3 linked regions of the Arabidopsis thaliana genome follow. The protein of the gene in region 2 purifies or fractionates together with the protein of the main gene of each other region. This does not show direct contact. Each region holds a gene or a part of one and is shown on either strand. Other genes may lie near its edges.

Region 1 (7,972 bases), on a different chromosome or scaffold from region 2:
ATGCAGAGTCTGCAGGAAAGAAAGGAGCGGTATGGTTTCATTACATATTTATATGTTTCAAGTTTTCATGATGGGAAAGAACTTTATTCGTGTCTTTCTGCTACTTTCGTGTGAACTTCCGTCCATATCCTTAGCTCTTTGTTTGGTATTTACATTTCATACAGACGCAAAATGCTAGAGAAAAAATTAGCTGCTGCAGAAGTCTCTGAGGAAGAGCAAAATAACTTGCTAAAGGATTTGGAGATGAAGGAAACTGAATATATGCGCCGTCAGAGGCATAAAATGGGAGCTGATGACTTTGAGCCATTGACAATGATTGGGAAGGGTGCATTCGGAGAGGTAACATCTCTTTTATAGATCATAGTCTGTTACTCTGTTTTCTCAGCCTCTCATTGGCATGCATCATCTTGAAATGTTCTCTGTGATGCATCCTTCTTGAAAGGTCTTCTTAGGCCATTTTTTTTACCACAGCTAATTTTTCAAAAAAGTATGGCATGCTAATTTTTCTCTTTCTCTTTGCAGGTTAGGATCTGTAGGGAGAAGGGAACAGGCAATGTCTATGCAATGAAGAAGCTTAAGAAATCTGAGATGCTTCGCAGAGGCCAGGTATTTAAATTCCTTCAAGTGGCTTTCGTTTGACATTTGTTTAGTTGGTTGATGTGAATGTGGAATCTGATTTTCAGGTGGAACATGTAAAAGCAGAGAGAAATTTACTTGCAGAAGTTGATAGCAATTGCATTGTCAAACTGTATTGTTCTTTCCAAGATGAAGAGTACTTGTATCTCATAATGGAGTATTTACCTGGTGGGGATATGATGACTTTACTTATGAGGAAAGACACCCTCACTGAAGACGAGGCCAGGTTTTATATTGGGGAAACTGTCCTGGCTATTGAGTCCATTCATAAGCACAACTACATTCACAGGTCAGTGAAGCAGAATATATGATTTAGTTCTAGCTCCCATTGTTATTTTGTTCTAAACGTCTTTTTTTCTCCAATGTGATACAGAGATATCAAGCCTGATAATCTGCTACTTGACAAAGACGGCCACATGAAATTGTCAGATTTTGGATTATGTAAACCATTAGACTGTAGTAATCTTCAAGAGAAAGACTTTACAGTTGCAAGAAACGTTAGTGGGGCTTTACAAAGTGATGGTCGCCCTGTGGCGACAAGACGCACCCAACAAGAGCAATTACTAAACTGGCAGAGAAATAGAAGGATGCTTGTAAGTTTCACTTATTCCTCATCTTTTCTTCCAGAGATGTGGAGTAGTCCACAGTATCCAGTATATTTCGTTATTGAAAGCAAATTCTCTCCATTGATATAGACATCTATGTTAGATATGACTTACTAGGTTAAGGTCATTACTTTCAGGCTTATTCCACAGTTGGCACTCCTGACTATATTGCCCCAGAAGTTCTGTTGAAAAAAGGATATGGAATGGAATGTGATTGGTAGGTGAAGCCAACCTATTCCTATTTGTGGTCTTTGATTTCTTTGGTGTAAATAAATAATATGGGTGAATAATCTTGAGATTTAGGTGGTCTCTTGGCGCCATTATGTATGAAATGCTTGTGGGGTTTCCGCCCTTTTATTCAGATGACCCAATGACAACTTGTAGGAAGGTAATTAATCCATTCCTTTTTGAATCTTTCATTTTAATATTGAAGGCAGACTGGCGATTTCAAGTCTTACATTTAATTTTAGTCTTTTTGTATCTCTTTGGTAATTCTAATGTGGAAACTTACCTCTTCTCGATTCATTATCTTCCCCCTTATGCAGATAGTAAATTGGAGAAATTACTTGAAATTCCCAGATGAGGTTAGACTATCACCAGAAGCCAAGGATCTTATTTGTAGGCTTTTATGCAATGTTGAACAAAGGCTTGGAACAAAAGGAGCAGATGAAATTAAGGTGTTGTATGCGTTGTTCAACTTTGAGATTCAAAGTTCCCTTATGTAAGATCATTGTGTGCAATTCTTAAAAACGATTTGACTGGTTTCTTTCAGGGTCACCCTTGGTTTAGAGGCACAGAATGGGGAAAATTGTATCAAATGAAAGCTGCCTTTATTCCCCAAGTTAATGATGAGTTGGACACCCAAAATTTTGAGAAATTTGAAGAGGTAACACACTGATACTATCAGCTAATGATGTCTATAGTGAAATATTGGTGCAATATATGCCACCAAATGATGTGGCATGATGTATATACTGAAATATTGGTATCACAGATGATTTTTATGCTCCTGATAAGGAAAATAATGTATACTCTTCTTTGATTCCTTCTGGAACAGACTGACAAGCAAGTTCCAAAGTCAGCCAAGTCAGGTCCATGGAGAAAGGTACAGCATAAGCACTGACTTTTTGGCATTATGTACCATCAAGCTTTTTTTTTTTATCTAATAGAAGAGTGATCATACTTCAAAATTTATCTATAAGTGGGTTCCTTGAGATATGTTGTTCTTTGATGATACTACAGACGTAGCTTAAAATATTACATGCAACAAAGAGCTCAGAATGATGAAATTGGCTCAGTTTCTGTCACAGGCGTTTCTATCTTTGTACTATATTCACAAAAACGTGATTCACTCTTTTAGGTTCAAATTTTCTTATGGTAATTTAGAATTTGGAGCTGATTGGGATGCTACTAACAGAATTATGTTGTTAATCTGCCAGTTCTGCATGTTGACGTGTGTTAGATGAATCACTTATCTTTTTGGACCAACATGATATAACTTAGAACCTGTTCTGTCAATAGAATTTATGTCATGAACCAAAAGGATTCTTGTGAATTTCATAACATGACGCTGGCTTTCTTTTTTTCTTCTCCAGATGCTCTCATCCAAAGACATTAACTTTGTTGGTTATACTTACAAGAACGTAGAAATCGTAAATGATGACCAAATACCAGGGATAGGTAATTCACTTAACCCCCCTTCCGTTGCTGAGGAAGAAGCAACAATACTAGATTACCTTGTGATTATCATCGCATGTTTGCTGCATTTGTAATTTGTTTTATTGTGCAGCTGAGTTGAAGAAGAAGAGCAATAAGCCAAAAAGGCCGTCTATTAAATCTCTCTTTGGTAAATCATCTGTTTGTATGCTATTTGTAAAATCAAGATGATTACGATCCATGTTTGATTCTCTCTAACCAAACTGTGGAAACTAAATTAACAGAAGACGAAACATCTGGTGGGACAACAACCCACCAAGGAAGCTTTTTGAATCTACTACCGACGCAGATTGAAGATCCAGAGAAAGAAGGTAGTAAGTCGAGCTCATCCGGGTGAATTTCATTTGACACATTGCACAGCCTGAACCAGAAGACTCTTGTTATATTAACATGTGTGTTGTTGATTTCGTTGAAAGCCTTTTGCTTTCTCTAAACGACTGTTAAAAGTTGGAGTTAGCAGGGGTTTTTCAACAAAGTACAGTCTCTCCAGTGGAAGCGAAGGCTCTCCCAGAGGAGAAAGATGGATTTGTTTAATTGTTTTCAACATAGAAAAGTGAAAAAGTAAATATTCTTTTCGGAATTGGCTTGTTTATTTATTTTCACAGGGAGAGAAGGTGAGCTTTGGTATTTGATTTTTTTTTTTTTGGTTAATCAAAACTTGGTTGTACTACTAAACCTCAAGATGAAATCTTCACCCTCTAATGCTATAAGCAAAAGTATTTACTATTTATTAGATTAGAAAAAGCGCCAATCTGAAAAACTGTTCTCACTGAATGTGTTTAATTGAGTACACTCAAGAGTGAAACAGATGGCTTAATGGCACCTCAGATTTGGTGCTAAAAGTCTACAGTCTACACTATATGTAGGCCTTTGGAACCAATTGCGTGTGAAGACTGAAGACTAAAAAGTGCATACAAAAGAAGTAGAGAACAAATGTACCTCTATGAGTATTCGTAGGCCCTTAAGAGACCTTCTTCAAATGTCAAAATAGTATAAAAAAGAAAAAAGACTAAGTGTGGCTGCTGGGATTCGAGCCCAGGTCCCCACGGCCACAACGTGGGATTCTAACCACTAAACTACAGCCACTTTTGTTTGTATTCTGTAGATTGATAATGATTAAAGAATCCACAATTGTTAGCCAAATTCCAAGCTTCTTGCCTTAACTTCTTTATTATGTGAAACGACCACGTTTTCATTTTATGATCTACTACTTCGGGTACACCGAACGAACCGGTCGGTTATTTCGGATTTAAATATTAACCGAAAACAATTAGCAGATAAAGGACTTGAAGAAAGATAGGGTTTAGATCTTCTTCTTCTTCTTCTTCTTCTTCTTCTTCTTCTTCTTCTTCTTCTAGTTGCTGCGAAACTCTGAAAAAGATGCAGGTATGTTCTCGATCCGAAACCCTAGCTTTTGTTGGTAAATTGGAAGAAGAAATAACCTAATTAGCTTCTTCTACCTTTGATTCTCTGTCTGTTTAATTTATCTATGTCGAAGAGAATTGGCTTAGACGAAATTAGGTCGATTTGTTTCTTATAAAGCATATATAGATGAAATCGGGAACAATTTGCTTTAAATTTAACATCTTTTGGTTTGGGTTTTTTTCTTTTGCAGGCAAGTGATAGGTTTAACATCAATTCTCAGCTTGAGCATCTTCAAGCTAAATATGTTGGAACCGGTCATGCTGATTTGAGTAGATTGTGAGTTTCTTTTGATTTTAGTGTTCAAATTTTTATATGCATTGTTTTTATTGGCTACTAATTTGTGGAATTGGTTTAAATGGTACAGTGAGTGGGCTGTGAACATTCAGCGTGATAGTTATGCTTCATACATTGGTCACTACCCTATGCTTTCATACTTTGCTATTGCTGAGAACGAGTCTATTGGACGAGAACGCTACAATTTCATGCAGGTTTGCCTCCTTTCATGTCTTTTGCATATTACTTTCTCTAGTGACAAATCTACAGTTCAAGATTTGGATTATGATTCTATGTTTATTTGATTAGGTGCGTATCATATGGTTATGTAACTTATGTTGCCTTCCAGATTTATTGCTTTGTTGTATGGTTTTTAGTTTACTGTTAAATGTCGTATTTGTCTATTCGTCGTGATATTTTGATTTCTTAGACCATGGACTTCAGTTTTGACTGACTATTTCAGCAGCCTCTAGTTCTGTAGGATACAATTATATTAGAGAGCGTTGGGTCATGGTCTTACTCAACTCGGTTGGTTTCGGTTTATTCGCCTCTTGCATGGTTGAAATGTGTGATAGGTTAGAATTTCATGTAGGTTTGCTTCCTATTCTCTGTGTTAATAGGAATCTTATCAGTAAAATTCTGTACTTTCCTTTTGCCTCATCCTTTATCTAGTGACAAATCTACAGTTCAAGGTTTGGATTATGATTCTATGTGTAGTCGATTAGGAATGTATCATTTCGTGGTTATCTTGTGGTATATCTCATTCCTTTTCCTTTTCAGATTCATTGATTTGTTGTATGGTTTTAGTTTAGGTCTTGTCAATGGCGTATTTCTCTATTTGTCGTGATATGTTGATTTCCTAGACTATGGACTTCACATTTCACTGACCATTCAGCAGCCTCCAGTTGTGTAGGTTACAATTAGATTATAGAGCATTAGGTTATGGTGTGGTCTCTCACTCAAATGTTTTCATTTGTCCTCAATTCTCAAATTAATGGAAGCTTAGTTCCTTTCACAAACAGTTGTGAGCTCGCCTTGGCTTTCAGTTTTTTCATGAAACAGGTCTCTTACATGGTTGAATAATCTTGTGATAGCGATCTCTTATATCTGAATATATGGTCTTCTTGAGGGTTAATCGAAAAGCATAGAAAAATATGAATATTTGTGGGGTGTTCTTTGCTCAAAAAATTGGTTACACTTTGTAGATGTGATGATGTTTTGGAATAACTTGAGATGTCTTTTGATTTCCAGAAAATGCTATTACCCTGCGGCCTTCCTCCGGAAAGAGAAGAGGAATAGGTGACATGAGGATTCGATTTGTCTTTCAAGTTATCAAGAACTCGTGTGATGGAATGTTGGTTTGGAGTTTTAAAAACTGTCCAATTTGATCTTCTGGTAGAGATTTATATGACTGTTAAAAAACAACTTTGTCTGTGTAAGTTTGCTTTTCTTGAATGTAAAAAACAAAACACCTTGGATTTTTAGGTTGGTTTTACACGGTTTCGTGTTTTAATCAAATTCATCAAAATTTTCAATTTTTGAACTATCCAAAAACCCGAATAATCCGACATAACCGTTATTGCATGCCTAGTTTGATTTGTTAAAAGTTCCCGACATAAATTCTTACCGTGGGATGTCCAAACGACAAGAAAACAACGGGTGTGACAAATGGACAAATAAAAGCAAAAAGCTTAGGCCACTTAAACCAAAAGCCATTTCATCAAACGTATTCTAAAATCTAAACTATAAATAATGTAATATCGTCAACGATGGAAGCCTATAAACACTATAGTTGATATAATCATACGCATCTATTATAAGCTTGCTTACTTATGGATAATTTTTCTTATTCTCTTTGACTTATTTTTGCCTAGTTTCATTGACCATCATAATACTTTAACAATACCGAAAGTTTCATAAACATTATAAAACTTTAGTCATTGTATACAATCCGAAAGTTTCATAAACATTATAAAACTTTAGTCATTGTATACAATTATCAATAAGTTTTGTTTCCCATGCATGTGAAATATCACTTGACTCAAGATGAATGGTCCTAACACGTTTACCTTTAGAGACACATGTTAATTTTCATATTGAAAATGAAAGTAAAAACAAAATGCTTAATATAGCATAGAAGAACATTAGCTATCCTACTAAATTACCATATAGAAGAAACTCATGAATTTCACACTGTGTTCATGAGTTCATCGAGAAGATCTACTAACGACATGTAAACTGGTTATTAAGTATGAGCTTGATTTCTCAAGACTCATCAACAAGTGTTCCATGTATCGACGTTACCAAGCGTTCGGGAGATCCACAAGTAAATGGATGCTTTCTTTTTTAAATTGTTTGAACTTTTATAAAATCAGGTCCTTTACATGCACTTCCAGAATCTGTCCAAGCGAGAGATCATAAGATAGAACAAAGTGATAATATGATAATATTGCGCTAGTACACGATTTGTTGACAGTTTAAATCCAAAAATGTTCATCAACATATTGGTACGATTAGTAAATGAGTAAAAAAAAACTTAAATAAATCAATGTAAATTGGGTGATGTATGTAGACTTAGGTATTGCACTAACTTGATTTTATTGATTCACAAAGTATAGTATTTATACAAGAGAGACATCTTATGAGATATACTCTAATCCCTAAAATATAGGACATAACTCTATCACAAGATATATAGTGATAATCTTAATGAGATTATACTCTATCCCCAATAATGTATCAAAATATATAAACGTAAAATGAAAATTTCAGCTTGAAAAATGACAAATGTAGAACTTTTTTTTTTGGTGGTAGATTCTGTTTTTAATAAAAATATATTATAAAGTTTTGCAAACTTGTTTCGTGTTGTTGTTGATTAAGTGATGTTTATGGTTATTACGAATTAGAGTTTTGGTCGTTAGAAAACAGAGAATTTAAATGTTAAACCGTGCACGAAAACAACTAATTTTTTCTTCTAAGTAATTAAAAAAAAAACAGTATACAAAAATAAAATAAAAAGATTCAATGAATGATAAATATTTACGTTGAAGTTTTGTCTTTCTTTAGGTTAAATTCAATTTTCACATATTCATTTCTTTATTATTCCCTTCTTCTTCTTTCTCTTTCTCTTTTCTTCCGCAAATCTCCGCAAAATCTTCCCTCAAACTCAGATCCGATTCTTCTAATTCTTTGTCCCCCCAGAGATTCTTCTTCTTTCTCCAAGTAAAAGAAAACAACTTTCTTTCTCTTTTCTTGCGAAAGTCCTCAACTTTCACCACTAAATCAGCTTCCTTCAATCACTGTGTTTGCTTTGGACC
Region 2 (7,017 bases):
TGATTCTATTTTTCGAAAAAATAAAATCATCATTATAAAAAAAGAATTAGACTTTTTCGCATATGCCATAATTTGAATTTTTAAAAACGAATATAAATTGTTCAATACATGAAAAAATATTATAACGGGTGAAAAATAGATTTAAGAAAACTTTCTACTGAGTAACAGGTCATAATTTGAAATATTTATATTCAATTTTATACATATTATATTGAAAATTTATAATCTTATATACTACAATAATTAATAACATATTAGATTTTTTTTATGTGTATGATGTGATTTAATTTTTAATACAAGCTCGAAAATCCTAGAATTGACGGGTTTAGATCGATATTAATACAAGATGGTATAATACAGGTGAAACTCTTAAATTAACAATCAAACTACATGTGTATAATCTTAAACACTAAACAATATAGATAATATCAACAAAACATATACAACTCACAGTTTACTATACATTTAAAATCAAATAAAATAATATCATATATTTTAAAATCATCTTTACAGTAAAAGTTTTTAGTTTAACTAATATATAATAAGCCTACATGCGGTATACTGCAGGTTAATATCTAGATTATAGGGCTTATTGGATCTAAAAACGGGTCATCAAAGATTTCCTAAACTAAAGCAAAATATACTAAATATTCGAATATCTATCTGTTACCAAATTATAAACAAATAAGTTCGTAAAACAATTTAATAATTTTATATACGAAATCAATTAAATCTTAATCACATAAAAATTAGCACAAAAAAAAGTACTCAACAATTAAAAAATTATCAAATCTCTGTGTTATATAAGTTTTGATACTATATTTGAATAAAGTGTAATATACCTTTTCAATTTGTATTCTTTAACTAATAAAAGCTAACTAATATATTTGCTAATCTTATACCTATCAGAACCGACTATCGTTTATTATCTCTATAGTATTTTTGCAAGATTTTTTTTGGTGGATTTGGGTAAAAGTGCATTCGGGTCATAAGGTACATTCCCATAATAAATAAATATAGTGCACTCCTATGTTATTAGCTAAAATGTTTAGATTATAATTCAGAGTCATATCATTAATAAAATTAATATTAATAAAATAAATGGCTTTTTGGTAAGACGGATTTGGAGGGACGGGTTTTTGAATCAACATTAATAAAAAAGTAAAATATAATCAATCCACCGTTTCAATACAAGTTAAATCTTTAATTTATTATTTTTTAAGACCACTAATATTAAATATATCAAATAATCCTAATTTAGAAAAGATTATATAAAACCAAAAATGTTATGTGGTATGTATAATGTTACTATATATAAAATTAAACTATAAAATATAAATGTATTAGAGAATGATACAATTTGCAAAACTTTTATATATAAAAAATAATTCTTAAAATTTTAAAATTACTACTTTAAAAAAAATCACGGGACGGGTAAAGAAATTACAGAACGGATTTTATTTTGGAATTGTGTTATATGGTGGATGTATTTGAATTAATATTTAAAATTTTTTAAAATATTATTAATATGTTGTTTTAATAGGGGTTAAAACTTCAGTTTTTTAACAATTGTCTCATTGATTCGTGGTATAGCGTTACTTAACAACAATTATAAACTGTAAAATATAAATATTTTATAAAAATAAAATTTGCAAGTTTTAATATATATTACTTTTACAAAATAAATCGTCCCGCGGTATACCGTGGGTTAAAATCTAGTACTAATTTTAAACTTTGATTATATTTAAATACCAAATGTTTAATCAATAGTGAATCTTATGATATTTATGAGAGAAAGAAAAAACCATATCTGTTTTGTCAAAAACTCTTAATTACAATCATCCACGCAACACAATTATTGTTATATATATATATATATATGTATCCTTAACCCATAAACAAATTCTTCAATACAAAACCTGATATTCATATAATTTCTGTGCTAAATCATGGCAAGAACTGAGTTGTGTCACGATAAGCCGTTTGATCCAAGCCATTCATTGAACATCCTGATAAAGTTGAAAGCATCAGACACAGGTTTGAGTAATACATTAACAATGCCTAAAGAGTTTGTAGAGAAAAACTTATTTCCATGGTTTAGTAAACATCGTCGTGTAAAATTGTCACAACACGATTCGGTACAATTGTTGGATTTATACGAATACGATTCGAAGATTACAACAACTCTTATTATGAAAAAAGAGCAAGATGGAAATTTCAAGTTTCACGGATGGAGTAACATTCTTGATAAAAGAAAGTTCAAGACTGGTGATATTATTGGATTTTGGTGGGATAAATTTTACGATAGACTCAATTTTATATCACTATCGACTGCTTGATCGATGAACCGGACTTCACAACATCATTTCTCGAATATGAATCTCGGGTCTTGTCATGTTTGTTCGAGTCTGGTTATAAATATATTCCTTTGGCTTTGTAAGATTATGATATATATAATTTTTAAGTATTAAGAAATAATCGAGAGAAACATGTGTAACTTAAGAAAATCATAAAACAAAGCATAACTTAGGTTTTGTATCCAATATCTTCAGGTTTTATTGGAATATATGTTTTATGCAACGGGGGTCAACAAACAAGTTTACACATAGCATAAGAGATCCAAATCAAGTAATCAAAGGACCGTACAAATCACGAAATACCGAACTATCATCGTTTTTTGAATCCGTATTTCTTGCGTTCATAGAAGAGATCGGTTTTCGCACTGCCAAGGTTAACAATCTTGGGGCAACCATCTCTGTCTTTCTCCTGCTGTGTACACTCTTTGCAGTAATAAGCATCTGAGATTCCAACGCCACCGCATATAACACACCGACCTTGGAATGACCCGTAGTTGCATTCATCACAAATACGTACTAGAGTACACGGACGCACATAAGAATCACAAATCACGCATTTCCCATCGCATTTCTCACACAGTCGTCCAATAGCAATTCCGGGTTGTTTCCGGCACATGATCAAATCAGGGTGATGCTTCGCCATGGCTTACTGGAACAGTGTTTGATCTGCAAACCAAAACAAAAGCAAAAAGAGGTCATTTGTCTATATACTCATTCACAAAGGAAAAGGTGAGCAAGAGATAGCTTAGTAAAAGAAAACTAATAAGCTCCTTCCAACTAAATGGAGACTAGGAATTAATAAAACTACTGAAAAACTAAACTCTAATCAACAGTTAGAGAATCAGAAAAGAAAGTAAAACTTCAAAAAAGAAGCTTGTCACTAATAGTTTCTCAGAGGAATTTCGTCGAACACCTTACATGCATCAGTTCCAGCCAAAATTTTCTAATTTCCAGTTCCAGAGGCCTACTCTACTAACCCAACAAAATCGTGGAAGAGAAACTATCGATAAGAAATTTGAAATTTGATCAAACTACCGAAAGCTCCATCAATAAGCATAGACATTACAAAATACAAACCCTAAGATTTCAGAGCAACGAAATCAGTACACAAAATAAACAAACCCCAGAAAAAGGTGAAATAAAACTCACACAAGTAAAGGGAGATCTAACTTGAGCCAATAGAGAAGAACGTTGCGACGAGAAATTTCCAGAGCGCCAAGATCGACGACGAAGCAAAAAGAGCAATAAAACGAATCGGGTCGGATTCTACACAAATAACGAAGCATCCAGATTCCAGTTTAGTAAAGTGGGTCCAATCAGAATCTTTAAAGCCCAAAGTAAAAGCCCATTATTATTGGACCAGATTAGTTTAAGTTGCTCCAAACCAAACCGGCAGTCAAATCAATTAAACCATGTCCTAATCAATAGTACCCAATTTAGACCCGGTCCAAACGTTACCGTTTATGAGTGTGCGCAACTAGCAGCTGCCACTGTCAGTGCCAAATTGGTAATTTCATTGACCTAGCTTTGACTGAGTATCACCACAGTGACGTGGCTTTTTCACAATTATAAAAAAAATGATCATATTCTAGACATGGAGGTAAAGTAAAGCAAAGAATCTGCATTTTTGTATTTTCTCTAAGGAACAATTACAAAATCTTGATACCTTGTGAGATCATAAAGAAGGTCGTTAACTCGTTATCTATTATATTTATATACCTTGAATTCTTGATACGTTTGTTTTACCTTTTTTTCTATTGATAATACGTTTGAAGTTTGTTTTACTGTTACACATTGATTTTATATGTGTTTCCCAAAACCGTTTAAGTTTCAGAGTCCGGAGCAGTAACTCGTAATTCACTAATACTGGTATTAAATGTTGTTATTTATGGGTAAAGCATAAATACTTAAATTCAATTATTATAAGAAAATAAATTAAAACCCGACCCCATATTTTTCGTCCTTTTAAAAGATGGAGTCCTCGAAAACATTACGTATTAGTAAGTTCCATGCAAAGGACAAACATATAATAACAACAACTTCTCTTCTTTACTCGTTTCTCTCTCTCTCTTTTCTTTTCTTTTCTTCAAGCGCTTCTTTAATGGCGGCTGTTCAATGTCTCACTTTCCTCTTCTTGTTTCTTCTCCAAAACGCGACGTCAGCTTCACCTCTCCCTCTCTTCCGGCGGCCGATCCAAAGCAACCACAGCAACTTCGTGAAGCATCCTCGCCGAAGTCAGGTGGTTTTCCCGGTGAATCATAGTAGTTGTGATCTGTTCGCCGGCGAGTGGGTGCGGGATGAGACTTACCCACTTTACCGGTCTAAAGAATGCGGCCGAGGAATCATAGATCCGGGATTCGACTGCCAGACTTACGGCAGACCTGACTCCGACTATCTCAAGTTCCGGTGGAAACCTTTCAACTGCAATGTCCCTAGGTTATTTAAACTCACTCACTTGTCACTAGCTCTACTTTGTTAGATTAATTTGGTTAATGTTAATTTTAGTTGTCTTGTTTTTGAGGAAGAAATATTCATTTTATTGATACCGAGGTTATAATCTGACATCCAATAGTAAAACTTATGCTTTGGCAAATGAATTTTTGGTAGGGCCACTATACCAACCAAGATTGTAAATTTGATTACTTTATGAAAAAGACAAAAACAAATTCTAGCTGGTTATACCAAGAATTGTCATATATATACGATAGTATTTGGATCATACAATGATCCCAAATTATTTGTTAGTATTTAATATTTTATGGTTATAGACATTCCTTCACTACATTTTTTTCATAATTAGGGGTATTACATACATACAACTTTATAATATATTTTTCTATTAGTTAATTATGAGAGATTCTCCTTTTCTAAATGTGTAATAAGTACAAGTTTAACAGATTCGTTTTTAACAAAAAACAAATTGATTTTACTGTTAATTAGGTGGAGTTTGGTACGGTTAATATAATAAGTACTTATTATTTTAAATATGTAATGTCGACGCAATGATTTATTTATGGAACCCCTTTCTGATTATACTCCATTTGGGAAAGCAGATTCAATGGAGTGAAGTTTCTACAAGAAATGAGAGACAAAACCATAATGTTCGTTGGTGATTCGTTGGGTAGAAACCAATGGGAGTCGTTGATATGTATGATCTCTTCATCAGCACCGTCCATTAATACTCACATCATTCATGAAGATCCTCTCTCTACCTTCAAGATCCTTGTAAGTTCCCAAAACAAATTTTCTATTGTCGGTAAATGAAACTTTTTTTCTGTTTGGTCAAGTTTTCTCGAATAACCTCGTGAAAATTGAGGTCAAAAGTTGTAATTTTGAACGTCGTTTTCAACTATTATTACCCTCACAACTTGACGTCGTCGGTGACAGTTTCACTGGTCCAATAAAGCAATATCAGTTACTACTAATCTACAGTATTATACTTCTTTTTTTTGGTATGAATATGGAATATTAGTTTATTTTCAGATAATTTTGATCTAAGCTCTTCGGATTAGAATAAGACCACTAGAAAGAAGTCATTTTAATTAATCTGAATTAATTTTCTTGCTATAAATTGAAGTTCTTATATTACTTTAATAATACTTTCTTTAAGTTTCCGATAAGAAAACAATTTTAGCTTTCAGCTTTATTCTTTTAAGGCACTTAAATGAAAACAATTTTAATTTGCTGAAAATAAGTTTAGGTCTATTCATTAAAATTAGTTGAAAGGCGATAAACAAACTATTGTTTGTTACCATTCAAACCTTAAGTTATACCTCAAGTTACTTCCAGTTCTTTGCTAATGTGTATATGCAATGACAGGACTACAACGTGAAGGTATCATTCTATAGAGCTCCTTATCTTGTAGACATCGACAAAATTAACGGAAAGACAACTCTTAAACTCGACGAAATCTCTGTGGATGCATCGAATGCTTGGCGCACAGCCGACGTTCTATTGTTCAACACTGGTCACTGGTGGAGCCACACAGGTTCTTTACGAGGGTAAGCTAAAGTTATAACCTCTATATAAGTGAAATTTTTCACATACCTATAACTAGGAGGGTAACATATAGATCATTATTGTAAATTATGAGTGAATAGTGAAAGTTTTTTGGGATGAGACAGGTGGGAGCAGATGGAGACAGGTGGGAGATATTACGGCGACATGGATAGGTTAGTGGCGTTGAGAAAAGGACTAGGAACGTGGTCTAGTTGGGTCCTTCGTTATATCAATTCTCCTCTCACTAGAGTTTTCTTCCTCTCGGTCTCACCCACACACTACAAGTATGTACCACTCTCTCTTAATCTTAAAATGAATTATTCAACCACTAAACTATCATAAATTAGTTTTTCTTTGTTTTTAACACTACACGAGACTTTGGGAGCTATGTGATGAATGATGATAATTAGCATTATACGAGACATATATAAGCACGTGTAGTGTTGATAATTGATAAATTAATTATCTTGATATTAACGACGCAAATTAATAAATAGGAAACATATGCGTTGGATTGATAGTTTTTGCTAGATGTTGCCAAACTATATTAAATAAATTGGCTTGCTAGTTGCTACCAAGCTACTCTCTCTAGTCTTTAGTAACCCACCATTGTGCATGGCCTTTGCTAGCTATAGCTAGAAAGTGTAGACGTGATGAAAAA
Region 3 (7,333 bases), on a different chromosome or scaffold from region 2:
GTGGAATCTGCTATTATCCCTAACGATAATCTCTCTTTCCGTGATCTTCGAGATAAACTTGATTGCGACATGACAATCCGTGCATATCCTTATATTCTTAGTGACTCTAATTGTCGTGCCAGGTTCTGTGTTGATGATACCAAAGGCAACAGCCAATCTCTCACTGTGTCCGAACAAAAGCTCTCTCTTATGCTCTTCGTCTACATCGTGAAGCACGCCGCTTGTGTCTGCAACATACCCTTCTTTCTCCATCTGTTCCATTACAGCTTTAAGAAACTCGTTGATCTTGTCCATACTCGGATGCGATCTATCTCCTGAAACAAATCCATGAGTCTTGTTTTTCATTTCGATCCAACTACAAGCTGGCTTTTTCCGCAATCCTTTCTTCCTCATACGCAATCTTAGTTTCGCCATTTCTTTCCATCTTCCATTAGACGCATACATATTGCACATCAAAACATAAGCTCCCATGTTTTCAGAATCGACAGTGAATATCTTCTCCGCTACCTTCTCAGCCAACTCAAGATTCTTGTGAACGCTGCAAGAAGACAATAAGGTAGACCAGACACTACCAGTTGGTTCAACACACATCTTTGAAATGAAATTGTATGCTTCTTCCAGCTTCCCTGCACGGCCTAGAAGATCCGCTACAGCTGCATAATGTTCTAACTCCTGGTTTAAACCGTAAACCTTAGTCATGCTGTTGAAATATCCCCATGCCTCATCTACCAACCCCACATGACTACAAGCCGTTAGTACAGCAACAAATGCCACTTGATTCGGTTTCACTCCTTGTCGTTTCATCTCCTCAAACAACGAAACTGCTTCATGCCCATGACCATGTAACGCATGCCCCATTATAATAGCCGTCCATGATACTTCATCGAGTACATTCATCCTGTCAAAAATCTTCCTAGCAGCCTTAATATTCCCACATTTCGAGTACATATCAACAAGTGCACTAGCTATGAATATGTTACTGCCAAAGCCACCCCTTAATACATATCCGTGAAGTTGTTTCCCAAGGTGCAAGGTGGCTAGGTGAGCACAAGCAGGAATCACACTTGAGAACGCCACAGCCCCTGGCTTAACCTTTGCGGTCACCATTTGCCTGAACAATCTCAGAGCCTCATTGTATCTACCATTCTGTACATACCCAGCTACAAGCGAGTTCCACGAGATACCATCCCGACAATACAAGCGAGAAAACACTCTTTCAGAGTCTTCAATCCGAGCACTTTTCGCATACATATCAACCAAACTACTCCCAATATATACATCACTATCAATCCCTTTCCTAATCACATACCCATGAATCTCTTTCCCCTTAATAACATCCACATACTCAGAAAATATCGGAAGCACACTAGACAAAGTAAAAGAATCAGGCTTTAAGTCAGTAGTTCCCATCTCCCTAACCATTCTCAAAGCATCTTCATACATTCCACTCTGTGCATACCCTGCAATGATAGTATTATACGACACAACATCCTTTCTAGGCATCACTTCAAAAACCCTCCTCACACTGTCTATTCCAAAAGGCATAATGCAAGTTTCAGCCTTTACATCTTCGTCTCCAGAATTGGACGTTCTTTGAGGCATTTCATCGAACACATTACCTACACTAATCTTAGAACCCATACCAAGAAGCTTAGCATACATATTCATAAGCGCATTACCAGTATACAAATCACAATCCATACCAAGCCTAACAATAAACCCATGAACAGACTCACCAAATCTCAAATCCATCATCATCGTACACGATTTCAAAACAGAAGGAAACACATTGTGATCTGGGCATCTCCCAGAAGCTCGCATTTCCACAAACGAAGCTAACGCCTTGGAGAATAGAGACTGGTCGGTGAAGCATCTGATTACTGACTTCCATGCTAGAACAGGAGGAGACTTAAGGGTTTTGAAAAGAAGCAAAGCTTCGTGCAAAAGTTTAAGGTTTGTGTAGATTGAGATTACGATTGAAGCTGATGTATGAGAGAGTGATTGAGTTCTGATGAATTGTGCGTGAAGCTGCTTCGCTTGAGATTTGGATTTGATTCGAGTTGGATTCTTAATCAGGGTTTTGATTAGGGCTTTTGATGAACTCATCTTTGTCTCCTTCTCAGAGATTCACCATTAGCAAACATAAAGGTTTGATTTTTATTTTCGTCATTCATTTAAATACTCCAACTTTTAACCTCTTTTTTTTATGACTTGTTCAATTCAATTCTTTTGCAATAGTTGTTCGAGTAGCAAAAAGACTTTGAGTTTGACAATTGTATCAAGACTATAACAAAGTACAAATGTTTAGATCATGATCAACAACTGCATTATGAACTAGAAACAAGAAGAAGCCTTTTCGGCAATTACATTGGTGGAGCAGTTAAAGAAGATTGCACACAAGCTTCTAAGAAGTAGAATGTTTTTTTTAATTTCAAATGCACACAAGCTCTTACTCGTCTTCTCTTTCTGGAGGAAGGCCGCAAGGTAAGAGCATTTTCTGCAAAAAAAAAATCAAAGAAGTTTGGAGTTAGTAAAAGCTATTAGCAAAAATGCAAAGTCATTGACTCTTGAGTGTAGAAGAACCAGAAGATAACAGTTTGAAACAACCCTCAAGATTGGTAGTTTCCTGCTAACTTACGATATGATACAATCTGTTTTTGACAAATACAGGGTAAGGGTTAAAAGAGTTTCATGCTGCTCCCCTTTCCGGTTGCAGAGGCCAAGTAAATATCTTTGAGGAAGTTCCATTCTCCATTCTTAAGGGTAAGGAGTTGTTGCTGATATCAGAAGGAGGAATGTTGAAAAACTAGAATTATAGCAGGTTTTCTTGAGGCCCACAAGTTCCTTGAAGAGAAAGATATTTACTGGCTTCTCCAAGCTAAAGAGGGGAGCAGCAGGAACACTTTACCCTGTTTGAAACAACCCTAATTGTTCCTCTCCCTTAAGACACTAACACATTAACATTCTCAATATGATTCCTTGACATGATGCAAGAAGAAAGATAGTAAACAAACCTGCATGAAGTTGTAACGTTCTCGACCAATAGATTCGTTCTCAGCTATTGCAAAGTAAGAAAGCATCGGGTAGTGACCAATGTATGAAGCATAACTATCACGCTGAATGTTCACAGTCCATTCACTAACACAAAAACATTCAAAATTTTCAATAAGTTCACAATTTTGGAATCCTGAAAAATCCAAACAAAAAGTGAAAAATACTTACAATCTGCTCAAATCTGCATGACCTGTACCAACATACTTAGCTTGAAGATGCTCAAGCTGAGAATTTATGTTAAACCTATCACTTGCCTGCACAAAAACAAAAAAGTGAGATTACATAACTATCTGCTGCTTAAAAACCTAACCTTTACAAGAACTAAAGCAAATTGTTCCCAGATTTCAGCTACGCTTAGCTTAATCGTCAAGAAATTGTATAAAATTAGAGATAAGAACAAAAAAAAGTAACTAGGGTTTCGAATCGAGAGAGACAAACCTGCATCTTTCAGACTTCAGCGAGTTCGCAAGAAGAAGAATACAACTTCTGCTTCACTTTAATTAGGTTTATATATGTTTCACTGAGAAATTGATTGGGCTTTGAGAATGGGTCTGGCCCAAATCCATTACTAATAAATTTTTAATACGTGGCTATTATTATGAGAACCGGTACAAAAGAAAACCAAACCAGAACCGGACATTTCAATCAAACCAAATCATTAACTTTTAAATTTGGGATAAAAAAAACGTGAACTTCCGAAATGCCGCTAAAATTATAAAATTTCGTCTGACTTTTGATAAAATGATTAAGTTTCGTTGACTTTACTATTTTGGGCATGTCGTTAAATTTCCGTTAACAACAAAATAACGGAGTTAACTTTTCGTTAACATTTTCCGTTAGAAGCGAAACGACGTCGTTTCAAAATAAAAATATATTAAAATTTGCGCCAAGAATGGATTGAACTCGTGAACCTCCTAAATTATCACAAGCGCTCAACCAATATGCTATGATAACATTTCGATATTAATGAAAACTGATATATATATATATACGCAAAACTAATTAAAAACCGAACTATTTTTTTTTTTTTTCCTTCCAATAACTTTATTAATTCACGTGTTCAGCATCTTTGTTTACAAACGACATTAGAAATCTAGGACAAAAATGATATAGAGTATGATTTATATGATTAGCTACTGCTTTTTTCGCCAGAACATCAACACAAACGTTTTGTTCCCGGTGTCGAAATGTGAACTTCACAGTGGTGAAAGCTTTGCTCCATTGTTGAATGAATTCCAAATAGTATCGAAGTCGTGGATTAGTTTCTTTGTTTCGAATAAGGCGATTAACTGTGATGTTGTCGCCTTCAAATTCTACTCTCCTATATCCCAAATCCCAAGCGCATTGTATTGCCCATATGAGGGCAGTGCATTCAGCTTCCTTTATTGTTTGTCGACCCTGAAATTTCCCGCAGCCGCAGTCCAAACAGGTTCCTTGTGAGTTTCGAATAATCCATCTGAGGCCTGAGTCTTGTCTTCCCGCATGGTTAGAGACATCATAATTGCATTTGACCCATTCTGCTCCTGGTTTTTGCCATTTGTCCGTTCTTGAGGACTTGGTTTGGCCCCCTTTGACGTTGTCATCATTTTTATGCTTAACATCCAGCCATTCTTTCGTGTCCATTATCGCTTGGTTTATCACATCAGCGACAGCGATTGCTTTTTTGTTGAAGACTAAATCATTCCGGCTCTTCCAAATCCTCCATATTAACCAAAATGGCAAATAAAAATATTAAAAATGATGTAAATTATAAAAATGCACCTACCAAATAAAAACCGAACTATAAAAACAATAACTAAACATGTAAAAATATTAAATACACCTACCATTAATATATATTCTCAAATAACAATGTAAATTTTTTTATTAAACGTATTGAATTAAAAAAAAATTCTCTTAAATTATATAAAAATCAAACTTGTGAAATATAACACCTATAAATATATTACCAAAAAATAACTTTTTATATACTTTCCATCTAATTATGAATAAAAAAATTGATTTGAAGACGGAATAATGATCTTATATTTTTCTTTTATTAAATATTTATCAAATTAATTTATAAAATATATGTTTTATTATAAATAAAATTATATATAAAGTGAAGTTGAATGAAATTCTATGTGCATGTATAGATTAATCCTATATTCATATGAGAAGGATTGTGTAAATTTTAGGTAATTTTCTATATTATTGATTTATTTTAGTTGGTTATTTTTAATTAGTTACGTATATATATATATATATGTATATGTTTACTATACTTCTAAAAAGTTAACGTGGCTCAATGGTTTTAGTCCTTCAATAGCACCTAAAAGGTCACCAGTTCAACTCTACTTGGTGTTTGTTTTTTGTTTTTTTCTTTAATTTCAAAACGACGTCGTTTCGCTTTTAACAGAAAAAATTAACAGAAAATTAATCACGTTATCTTTTTGTTAACGAAAACTTAACGACATGTTCAAAATGGCAAAGTCAACAAAACTTGACTATTTATCAAAAGTCAAACAAAAGTTTACGATTTTAATGGCATTTTGGAAGTTCATGTTTTTTTCGTCCCAAATTTGAAAGTTCATGATTTTTTTGACATTTTTCCCATTGTCCGCTTTAGAACTGTGTGGTAAACAAACCAAATTTGATTTTTACCCAAACAAAACAATCAAACAAATAAATAAAACCACATTCTGAAAATGACTATTTACTTCCTTTTGCTTCAAACTAAACCTTTTGAACAACCAAATATTATCCTATGTAGAAACTGTTGAACAAATCCTTAATCTTCTCACACAATAGCCTTCACCGCCACAATGGAAACTGTACTATCTCCAACCGTAAATCCGCCACCTCAAACCGTGTTTTGGTGTGTTAACCGGGACCAAAGTGTAGCAAAGAGTCTGGTTTAGGATGTGGCATTGTCGAAACGTGTGGTGGAAGATGATAGGGTTTCACTAGATGAGCTTGATTTGTCTTCTTTCTCTGGAACTTCGATTTGTGTTGGCAAGAGTTTCATAAAGCTTCCTTGGTGGCTTGTGGTGCTACTGGCTGATTCATCCTCTGCCAAATGTTTTTATAACAATTCTTGTTAGTGCTAAAACCATATGCTAATATCAGACAATGAGTTGAAATAGATTGTGATAAATGTCTTTTAGATAAGTACCAAAGAGGGATTTAATTGATGGCCGCTTTGGCTTTGTGCTCTTCTTCTTCAGCTCAGCTGCAACAGTAAACACAATCACAAATTACAACAGAGCAAACATGGAATATGTTTACTTACAAGTCAAATTTGTTGTGTAAGTGAGATCTACCTATCCCTGGTAATTGATCATGGTTTACGATTTCAACGTTCTTGTAAGTATAACCCACAAAGTTTATGTCTTTGGATGAGAGCATCTGGAGAGAAAACAAAACACAAAGACACTCTTATGTTAAGAATGCTAATGACAACACATAGTATTAGTTCATATGCATGACTTCAAGCTAAGTTTTCATTTCATAGAAAGACATGAAAGCAAGAATATTTTGTACCTTTCTCCATGGACCTGATTTTGGCGTCTTCGGAACTTGCTTATCAGTCTGTTACAGAAGAATTTATATTAGTTTCTATATCAACAGCTGCATACGCATCATTGGACCGTTGCCTTATCATTTCAAACGGTTTTTCTGATCCGAACACTTTTAGTTTTTACCTCTTCGAATTTTTCGAAATTTTGGGTGTCCAGCTCGTCATTAACTTGGGGAATAAAAGCAGCCTTCATCTGATACAACTTTTCCCATTCGACACCACTGAACCAAGGGTGTTCCTACAAAAAATACCAGCAGAAAGCGTTTATTTAAGCATTTATCGATAGTCTTTAGACACGGGAACTTCGAATTATAAAGCACAAAGTACCTTAATTTCATTTGCTCCTTTTGTTCCAATCCTTTGTTCTACGTTGCATAAAAGTCTACAAATTAGATCCTTGGCTTCTGGTGATAGCCTAACCTCATCAGGGAATTTTAAATAATTTTTCCAATTTACTATCTGCATTAAAAACAATAACAAGTATTCAGAGATGTGCATATATTACCAAAGAGGTATCATTAGAAGATCAAGAACTAAATCGAATGCAAAAATTTGAGATTACTAGAAGTCTAGAACAGAGTTAAAGTCCACAAAAAGTGAGGATTGGTACCTTTCTACAAGTTGTCATTGGCTCGTCTGAATAAAATGGTGGAAACCCCACAAGCATTTCATACATGATCGCACCAAGTGACCACCTATAGGAAGAAAACCCGAAAAAAT

Evidence for each region.
Region 1: the proteins of AT2G30000 (region 2) and AT4G14342 fractionate together in Arabidopsis thaliana (co-fractionation; one large-scale study listed by BioGRID). This does not show direct contact.
Region 3: the proteins of AT2G30000 (region 2) and AT3G23325 fractionate together in Arabidopsis thaliana (co-fractionation; one large-scale study listed by BioGRID). This does not show direct contact.

What each region holds. Positions count from the first base shown.
Region 1 is NC_003075.7:8,251,771-8,259,742, reverse strand, and holds AT4G14342 (Splicing factor 3B subunit 5/RDS3 complex subunit 10), read left to right. Parts: upstream 1-4,138; 5' UTR 4,139-4,337; coding exon 4,338-4,343; intron 4,344-4,572; coding exon 4,573-4,658; intron 4,659-4,746; coding exon 4,747-4,960; 3' UTR 4,961-5,243; intron 5,244-5,906; coding exon of another isoform or gene 5,907-5,954; 3' UTR 5,955-6,207; downstream 6,208-7,972. Other genes in the region: AT4G14350 (AGC (cAMP-dependent, cGMP-dependent and protein kinase C) kinase family protein), read left to right, coding at 1-29, 165-339, 523-606, 684-925, 1,010-1,229, 1,379-1,458, 1,545-1,629, 1,787-1,918 and 5 more.
Region 2 is NC_003071.7:12,801,375-12,808,391, forward strand, and holds AT2G30000 (PHF5-like protein), read right to left. Parts: upstream 3,651-7,017; 5' UTR 3,507-3,650; intron 3,024-3,506; 5' UTR 3,001-3,023; coding exon 2,668-3,000; 3' UTR 2,449-2,667; downstream 1-2,448. Other genes in the region: TBL45 (TRICHOME BIREFRINGENCE-LIKE 45), read left to right, coding at 4,330-4,793, 5,411-5,582, 6,177-6,358, 6,482-6,640.
Region 3 is NC_003074.8:8,341,973-8,349,305, reverse strand, and holds AT3G23325 (Splicing factor 3B subunit 5/RDS3 complex subunit 10), read right to left. Parts: upstream 3,537-7,333; 5' UTR 3,499-3,536; coding exon 3,493-3,498; intron 3,309-3,492; coding exon 3,223-3,308; intron 3,139-3,222; coding exon 3,015-3,138; intron 2,940-3,014; exon of another isoform or gene 2,650-2,939; intron 2,498-2,649; coding exon 2,450-2,497; 3' UTR 2,164-2,449; downstream 1-2,163. Other genes in the region: AT3G23330 (Tetratricopeptide repeat (TPR)-like superfamily protein), read right to left, coding at 1-2,106; AT3G23320 (Polynucleotidyl transferase, ribonuclease H-like superfamily protein), read right to left, coding at 4,102-4,677; AT3G23310 (AGC (cAMP-dependent, cGMP-dependent and protein kinase C) kinase family protein), read right to left, coding at 5,951-6,105, 6,209-6,265, 6,357-6,441, 6,577-6,624, 6,738-6,851, 6,941-7,072, 7,224-7,308.